Linked DNA regions of Canis lupus familiaris. The protein of the gene in region 1 interacts with the protein of each later gene in a pairwise test. Links are inferred from orthologs where the notes say so. Each region holds a gene or a part of one and is shown on either strand. Other genes may lie near its edges.

What was found.
Region 2: the proteins of RGS2 (region 1) and NIPSNAP1 interact in a two-hybrid assay, tested with the Homo sapiens proteins (2 studies listed by BioGRID and IntAct). The link is inferred for Canis lupus familiaris from reciprocal best matches to the Homo sapiens genes RGS2 and NIPSNAP1.

The regions. Positions count from the first base shown.
Region 1 is NC_049259.1:6,818,175-6,822,478, reverse strand, and holds the start of RGS2 (regulator of G-protein signaling 2), read left to right. Parts: upstream 1-1,327; 5' UTR 1,328-1,376; coding exon 1,377-1,486; intron 1,487-2,510; coding exon 2,511-2,612; intron 2,613-2,715; coding exon 2,716-2,777; intron 2,778-3,355; coding exon 3,356-3,522; intron 3,523-3,796; coding exon 3,797-3,991; 3' UTR 3,992-4,304. Other genes in the region: protein SPT2 homolog, read right to left, coding at 66-219, 920-1,320. UniProt on the Homo sapiens protein: Regulates G protein-coupled receptor signaling cascades. Inhibits signal transduction by increasing the GTPase activity of G protein alpha subunits, thereby driving them into their inactive GDP-bound form.
Region 2 is NC_049247.1:23,203,648-23,208,211, reverse strand, and holds the start of NIPSNAP1 (protein NipSnap homolog 1), read left to right. Parts: upstream 1-1,661; 5' UTR 1,662-1,708; coding exon 1,709-1,800; intron 1,801-4,564.

The DNA.
Region 1 (4,304 bases):
ATCACCAAATTATGCAAGTAAACCCTTCACGTCTTCTTCTCCTCCCTCCCCCACTTTGCAAGTTATTAAGTGTTCTGGTAAATTCTCAGCCAAGAATGACTCATGAGGAAACCCTGCATCCTTGCACTCCCAGGACGAGGATGGCTCTGGCGCATCACAGTTTCCACGTCTTGGTGTTTCCCTCCGTCTCCTCGTGAGGAGAGCTGGGACTTCTCTGTCCTGGAAGGAGAAGCAACCAAGGATTTCGGAGAAAAAGCTTTGCAACCCCACGGGAAGACCCAATCACGCAGGTTGCGGGGAGCAAGGCTGCACACCCTCTTAAAACACGGCCGTCGGATAAAGTCCCTTTCTCCGGTTCCTTCCCTGCTTACCGTTCAGTCCCCGCAGGGTTCCGGGTTGCCCCCCCCCACCCCACCCCCCGGCCGCGCGGGGGTCGCTGCCCCCGCCCCTGCCCCACCCCCGCCCCCGTCCCCCGCGCCCCCGCCCCGGCCCCCCCGCCCCTGCCCCACTCCCCTGCCCCACCCCCGCCCCCGTCCCCCGCGCCCCCGCCCCGGCCCCCCCTGCCCCTGCTCCTTCCCCCACCTGACCCTGACCCTGCCCCACTCCCCTGCCCCCACCCCGGCCCCCCCGCCCCTGCCCCTGCCCTCCCGCCCCCTCCCCTGACCCTGTCCCCCCTGCCCTGCCCCCCCGCCCCTGCCCCCCGCCCCCTCCCCCTGCCCCCCTCCGCCCCTACCCCCCTCGCTCCCGCCCCCGCCCCCGCCCCGCCCCTCCCTTTCATCTTTTCCTCCCCTCCCAACTCAACGGAGTCGCACAGCGGAAGAGGGGAGGGTCTCCCCGCGGCCTGTTTGCAAGAAATGAGGCGTGGGAAGAGGGCGCGCTCTCCAAAAAACAAGGGCGGGGGGTTGGAAAACATCTTAACTCAAAATAAAGCACTTGCACCCCGGTCCGCTCCCAGCAGCCTCTCCCCGCCGGAGCCTGCACCCCTCCAGGGCCGGGAGCGCCCCCTCCCGTCGTCCCGTCGTCCCGTCGTCCCGTGGCCGGGGCGCGGCTGGCGGCGAGGCGTCCCGGTCCGATCCCACACGCAACCCCGCGAGCCGCCGCGAGGGCCCGAGCGCGCACGGAGCCGGAGCCGGAGCCGGAGCCGGAGCCGGAGCCCGAGCCCCGGACGTCAGCCCACCTCGCTTCGAGAGCCTTCGGCGGCGCCCGTGACCGCCGCGGGCCGGGCCGCCCGCCCCCGCGCCCGGGTGCAGCCGACCAATCGGTGCCCTCGGGGGGCGGGCCCGGCGGCGGAGGCCCCGCCCCCTCCCCGCCGCCGCCCATAAAGGCGGCGCCCGCGCCCCGCCGCGCAGAGCTGCGGCCCCGGCAGGCGGTGGACGATGCAAAGTGCCATGTTCCTGGCCGTCCAGCACGACTGCGGATCCATGGACAAGAGCTCGAGCAACAGCCCCAAGCACGAGGAGAAGCGGGAAAAGATGAAGCGGACCCTGTGAGTACGGCCCTCGGGCGCCCGCCCCGCGCTGCGCACCTGGCGCTCCGGGTTTGCTGCGAACGTGATGACGTTAGGAAACCCTGCGACCCGCGCCTCTGCAGGGAAAAGCAAAAATGTGGAAGAGGGCAATTAGCTAAGTAAGGTTCAATCTGTGTGCGTGAGCCAAGGACTCTCGGGTAGTTTAGGACTGAGAGCATGTTAGATAGGGAGGCGGTGGTGATGAGGAGGATGAGGAGGCTAAGACCTCGCAGGTTGGCTTTGTGGCCCCTGCGTCTAAGGTAGCAGCCGAGGATCCTGGGGCCGAAGCACATCCCCAGCACTGGTGCCTTGCATTATAAGTTCTGATCAGCTTGCACAGCTTCCGGATTGGAATATTTTGGCTGGTTCTGAACATACTCGTTTTAAAATCGCTTTTTTTTTTTTTGACTGAATTGCTTAATTCACCCACTAAAGATTGTGCAGCAAATCATCGTTATGCATCATCTGCTTAAAATGAGTGTTGTAGTTGGGCTGGGGCAGGGGAACTCAGTCTCTCTCTCTCTCTCTCTCTCTCTCTCTCTCGGACACACATACACCCCCTGCCTCATGGCTTCTGGAGTGGTCCAGAGCCTCTTGCTCTAAGGGTAGGAGGGAAATGAACACCCACTGGCTCCAAGCAGTTCCAGTGTTAGGTTTCTTCAAGTGTGAAATGTCTCAGAATTGTAATCAAGGCTGCAGAAAAACTGCGGTCTTTTGTGGGTCAGAAATTGCATCTGTCTTTTTGAAATATGCCATCTAAATTCATTTAAATGTCCTAGGTAGACTTACCCTTGGTTATGAGAGTAGTACTTCTGCTCAGATGAAGGGATGAAACTAATTGCGTTAAGCACGTAGGTGCTAGGTTTAAATGTAAAATGAGTAAGACTGACTTGAAGATTCTTGTTGCTACTGGGTGGCTTTATTTGGTAAAAATGCCTTCAGCTGCCACAGCAATTTCAAACGTTGTCACTTAGTGAATATCTTTTTTTTTTTTCTTTTTAAGATTAAAAGATTGGAAGACCCGTTTGAGCTACTTCTTACAAAATTCGTCGTCTCCTGGGAAGCCCAAAAATGGCAAGAAAAGCAAACAGCAAACCTTCATCAAGTAAGTTGAAAAATCTTGTATTTGCGAACATGAATAGCTAGCTGCTGAGCTGAAAAGAGGAATTCTGATGTGCACGAGCTAATGAGCAGACCTTCTTTTGCAGGCCTTCTCCTGAGGAAGCACAGCTGTGGTCAGAAGCGTTTGATGAGCTGCTAGCCAGTAAATGTAAGTTAACCTTTTGAATTTGATCCATTTCACAAGATATCACAAATATCACAAGAGTCCACAAAGGTGTTCACAACAGAAAAGCAGATTGCTCAAGGGGAATTCAAATTTGCAATCACTAAAGATCTAATGCCTATTTTTCTCCTTTATTTCCTGTTTAACCATAGAAATACATGGTTTCTTCACTGTAGATAGGGAAGGAAAAGTAGCCCAAATTGTAGGGGCAGTTGCTCTTCCTTAAGGTTGAATTGAATCAGCTTTTTCCATTGCATACAAGGTTTCCAGGAGGTTTGGAGCCCGGAGAATTTAGGTTCCCCTCTAAATATTTGCATTAAAAGCAAAGTTAAGTATATTTTGTAGCAGTGTGCCAGCTTATGCATTTTGCCTATTAGCATCTTAGTCTTTAAAAGGCTAAATTCTGAGGGTTACAAGTTTGAGTGAAATATAGAAAATTGCCATCATTTAGAAATAATAAAATATAGGGATGGGAGAATGGTAGTTCTGGAAAAATTTTAAGGCATTAATTGGTCACCCAATTTACATTCTGCATGTTTTTTCCCCCCTTTCTTCCTCCCCAGATGGTCTTGCTGCATTCAGGGCTTTTTTAAAATCTGAGTTTTGTGAAGAAAATATTGAGTTCTGGCTGGCCTGCGAAGACTTCAAAAAAACCAAGTCACCCCAAAAGCTGTCCTCCAAAGCAAGGAAAATATATACTGATTTCATAGAAAAAGAAGCACCTAAAGAGGTAAGGGGGGCAAAAAAAGAACTTCAATTCAGCATATTTTGAATATTCTTAGCACCAAAATGAAACAAAAAGACATTAAATTAAAGGGGGGAGGGACAAGATTGTTTCAAGAAACTAATTCTAGTTTTTAATTCGCTTAATTTCATTTCTTCAATGACTTGGCTAATGAAGCTCATCACACATTATAGTTTTTGCTGCTTGTTTTCAACGATTAAATAGGTATCAGTCCCTAGCTTTGAATATGGAATAAACCCCTTTTTTTTTATAATTTCAGATAAACATAGACTTTCAAACCAAAACTCTGATTGCCCAAAACATACAAGAAGCTACAAGTGGCTGCTTTACAACCGCCCAGAAAAGGGTCTACAGCTTGATGGAGAACAACTCTTATCCCCGTTTCTTGGAGTCAGAATTCTATCAGGACTTGTGTAAAAAGCCACAGATCGCCACAGAGCCCCATGCTACATGAGACGAAAAGGGGAGCCCAAGAGTGGAGGACATTTCATTTTGTTCCTAAGGGGAAAGGCTGCGACCTTCCAAAAAGACTGACCTTGAATTTAGCCTGGGTGTTCAGGAAACATCACTCAGAACTATTGATTCAGAGTTAGTGAATCAGGAAGCTGGTGACTGTGTAGGAGAAGCTTGTGTTGGGACGGCTCCCATAGCTCTGTCTAGAACCCAGGGAGAAGGTGGTCCAAATGTGGTGTGTCTCACTCACACTGGAAAGGCAGGAATGGGAGACCCAAAGGTCTGATGTGACACTGTTGGTCCAAACACATTTA
Region 2 (4,564 bases), on another chromosome or scaffold:
CGACATGACACCAGTGACATTTCATTTGTTTCACCTCCATCTATTCATCTGGGCTTTTCCTGAGTGGCTGGGACTGGGTAGCCTTCGATCACACCAACTTCCAGAAGGGGGAGCATATTCCCTTTTGGTCCCTCAGATAAGCCAACTGGGCCCAGCTGTGTCTCCAACACCTCACTGTGCTCTTCTTAACACAAAGAGCAGGCCTCAGGCTCATAGCCTTCTGCCTTACCTACATGGCAGTGGCTGTAGTGTGGTGTCCACTGCACATTTATTTAGATAGTTCTGCCTGTTTATGACAGTTGATCCAGGTTTTCTATTTATCATGAGGATACTGTTTCCTTTTTATTTTTTAAAAGATTTCTAATTATGTATTTGAGAGAGAGAGAGCAGAATGAGACAGAACACAAACAGGGGGAGAGGGGACAGAGAGAGAGGAGAAGCAGGCTCCACCCCAGGACCCTGGGATCATGACCTGAGCCAAAGGCAGATGCTTAACCCAACTGAGCCACCCAGGCACCCTATAGTTTCCGTTTTAAATAAATCACACATATAATTCATGCTCCTTTAGAAAACACAAGGCAAAAAAATCATAGCACAAGCCTCACTTCCATACAGAAGTCATTACTGACCCACAAGTATACATAGATCTCCCTTTTTCTCTTCCCTATCCATTGTAAGTCCTCACAGCTCACTATATTTCTTTACAGTCTGCACTATAATTGGCAAAATACTTTTGTGTATATTTTTCATTTATCCAGTAAATATTTAATGTACCAGGCAAGAGAAGTGAGGGGAAAGCAGCCTAAGGTATCTGTCCTAAAGGGGCTCAAAGTCAGTGTTGATCTGATTTTGTCTCCCCTACCAGACCTCAAGTTCCAAGAGGGCTGGGGGCTTGTTGTCCTGTCTGCCTTTAGTGTTTCAGAATTTAGCACAAGCAATAGCCAGGCTGACTGAATATTTGCTGAAGGATTAACAAAACTAATGCCTGCCCTTCATTGCGCCTTGCCAAGCATACCAGGAGGGAGCCACCAGTTAGCAGTCAATGGGTGGCCATTCTGGGGGTGTGCATGCAAGGATCCATGTCCCGTTGGGCCCCTGGACCCCTGGTGGGGTCTGCAGGCTCTCCACTCTTGTTGACGTCTGTGATCTGGGGGATTGTGGACTGAGAAGGGGTTAGTTTGGAAGGCAGGCAAAAGAGCTGGGCAGGGCCGGGGAGAGGGCATAGGCCCCGGGATGCCCAGGTAGAGATGGGATGAAGATAGAAAAGGAGATGGAGAGAAAACGGACTGGTGGCCCGAGCCTTGTCCAACTGCCTTCAATTGTTAGGGGTTTGTTCCTTTGATAATGTGCTAAATACTGCCTGTAAATCCCTCCTCCTCAGAAAAACGCAGTTTCAGGACGCCTACTGATTGACCCTCTGCCACTGATCTTGAGAGCCCAACTAAGAACCCTTGGCATCATTGTCCGACGCTCCCATTTTACCAAAGTGGACATTGAGGCCCAGAGTGGGCAAAGGCCCTGGTCAAGGTCACGTCAGCACCAGACCGGCTGCAGGGGCTCTGAGGCTAAACCTGATGAGCCCAGGCTCGGTGGAGGTAGGGGATGCCCGGCGGCGAGGCGACCGGCTAGGCGGTGGGCGGGGCTCGCCGAGGCCCCGCCCCGCCTCCGGGCTGGGGGCGGGCCTTGCTCCAACCTGCGCCGCTCCAACATGGCTCCGCGGCTGTGCAGCATCTCTGCGGCGGCGCGGCGGCTGCTGGGGAGCCCGAAGCCCCGCGCCGGGGATGTCGCGGCTGCTGCGCGGTGAGAGCCGGGTCGGGGGCCGAGGAGTGGCGCGAGCGCGGGGGGCGCAGGGCCGGCGGCCACGGTCTGGGGCTGGGGGACCGGCGGACTCCCGCTTAGAATCTCTGGGTTGGAGGCGGGGCAAGATCTAGGCCTGGGGAGGGGCTCTCGGCGAAGAATGGGGGAGATGGGGAAAATATGCGCAGGGTCTTTGTCCTAGTAGGTACCTGGCTCTGGACGGAGAACGAAAGATGGGGTGAAGGGGAGGGGCTTGTCCTGCGCCCTGGAGAGTGGCAGAGGGCAGGAGTGGCCCCTTCTCTAGAAGGGATGATTGTGAAATAGTACCCGCTGGGGGCTTCTAGGAGAGGCAGCTCCTCCCTTCGGAAGTTCTGGGGGAAGAGGTACGGGGAGCAGTGCGGGACTCCTAAGGGCCATGGCTGCACAGACCCTTTGCTCCCCAATCCTGAACAGTACAAGTGGGGCAAAGGAGGCCTGGGAAGGGATGGGAGTTGCCCAAGGTCATTCCCTCTGGTGTCTCCATGTCTCCTGACAACCAGTGCTCTTTGCACCACAATTGGTGGCCTCCAGGGAGAAGGAGGCTGGCTTGGCCTTGCGCTCAGCCTGGGCTTTTGTTTGGGCCCCGCTCTGGAGTGAGGCAGGTCTTGGACTTCTTGACCCGGTCTGGGCACCCCCTCCCCCCTCCATCTCCAGGGTCCTGTACTTTCCCCATACCCTCACCCTCTAGACACATTTGCCTTTCTCCCCGACTGACTGACGTGTCATGTCATTTATCTGTTAATCCAGCCCCTACCACAGGGTTCAGGACAGTATACTCGAGAACGAATTACTAAAGAAGTGAAGACACTTCTCTCCCCACCTGTGGAAAGGAAGCAGCCCAGGCATGAAGCTGCAGAGTTCGGTTAGACCTTGCCATGGGATCCACTGTGGCTCTTGGCCATTGGGAAAGAGGAACCAGGCCTGTGCCCCTTCCCCAACTGCCCAATATTGGGGAGAACCCTCCTCTCACGGGAAGATCCTGGAGTTTGTCTGGGACCGGCAAATTTAACTCAGCCTTTCTCAATGGAGTGACCTTGGGCAAGTCATTTGGCCTCTTGAAGTCTCAGATTCCTCAGCTGTAAAATAGGATTGATAAAATAGTATGTATCTTATAAGAGTGGAGGGTTAAAAAAGACATGTCACGTATGTGAGGCTTCTAGCCCCTGGTGAACTTGCAACAGATGTTGCCCTTGTTCAAAAAGTTTCTGAATGAACCCCTTATAATATTAGGGCTCAAATGGCCTTGGGAAAATCATCTTTTTTTTTTTTTTAAGATTTTATTTATTTATTCACGAGAGACACACACATGCATAGGCAGAGACATAGGCAGAGGAAGAAGTAAGATTCCCTGCAAGGAGCGTGATGCGGGACTCGATCCCAGGACCCTGGGATCAGGACATGAGCCAAAGGCAGACACTCAGTGGCTGAGGCACCCATTCGTCCCTGGGAGATCATCTTCTGTGACCTCCTTGCTATCCAGATGAGGAAATTGAAGCTCGGGGTGGGACTTCACTTTCCCAGGGTAACAAAATCAGTAGAGGGAAAAGCCATTTGTGTGACAAATATGCAGAGGCCACAAAAGGAGCATGGAACAAACAGGCAACCTGATGCTCCTCACTCACTTGGATGAGGCGCTGAACCTCTGTGAACCTTGGTTTCCTTTTCTGTAATTGGGGATGATAAACCCTATGGCGGATTTTTGCAGGATTAATGTGAAGGCACTTGAATTAATACCAGTTCACTCAAGAACTGCTTCATAGTTACTTCTATTGTGGTCTCACTTTGGATACCTGCGAACATACCCTCCTGCTGACATTTAGCCTGTCCCATATCTCTCTGGAGTCCGTAGAGGGGTGGGCAGCAGCCTTTCTGTCCTCTTAGGTTTAGGGGCTGCTGGGGCGGAGACAGAGTGTGGGCTTTCAAGTCAGATGGATGTGGATTGCAATCATCTTGATCATTAATTAACCATCTGTGAGGGATCCCTGGGTGGCGCAGCGGTTTGGCGCCTGCCTTTGGCCCAGGGCGCGATCCTGGAGACCCGGGATCGAATCCCACATCAGGCTCCCGGTGCATGGAGCCTGCTTCTCTCTCTGCCTGTGTCTCTGCCGCGCTCTCTCTCTGTGACTATCATAAATAAAAAAAAAAAAAAAAAAAAAAAAAATTAAAACCATCTGTGAATAAGGCATGGAACACCTCTGAGCCTCATTTTTTCTCAAAAACATATTGTGAGGATTAGTTCTTAGCACATAGTAATTGCTCAATAAATAGTGGCTGTTATTGTTGCACCAGTAATCCTGTTAACAGGACTTTAGTTGTTTTATTTTTATTATTAGTAAGTAAGTTCTGCGCCCAGCATGGGGCTTGAACTCACTACCTTGAGATCAAGAATCACATGCTCTACCAACTGAGCCAGAGAGGCACTCCAGAACTTCAGCTATTTTAGTTCTCCTGGAAATCTAGAGAATCTAGAGAACATTCTGGAGTGGTTTCATGTTGGGGGCGTCAGACTGTTGATCCCTATCGAGAGTGCAAATGTGACATTTACTGAAAAGTTCTCATCCAGGACAAATAGTTGTTGAGCAACTCCCATGCCCAAAGCACTGTGCTATGTACCATGGGGGGATGGGAGGACATTAGCTAGTGACTTCCAGTGTGACTGGGGAGTCAAGACATGAAAATGATAAAAAGGCTGATGGGGAAATGTGAGACATGTTTTTGTGGAAGGGGC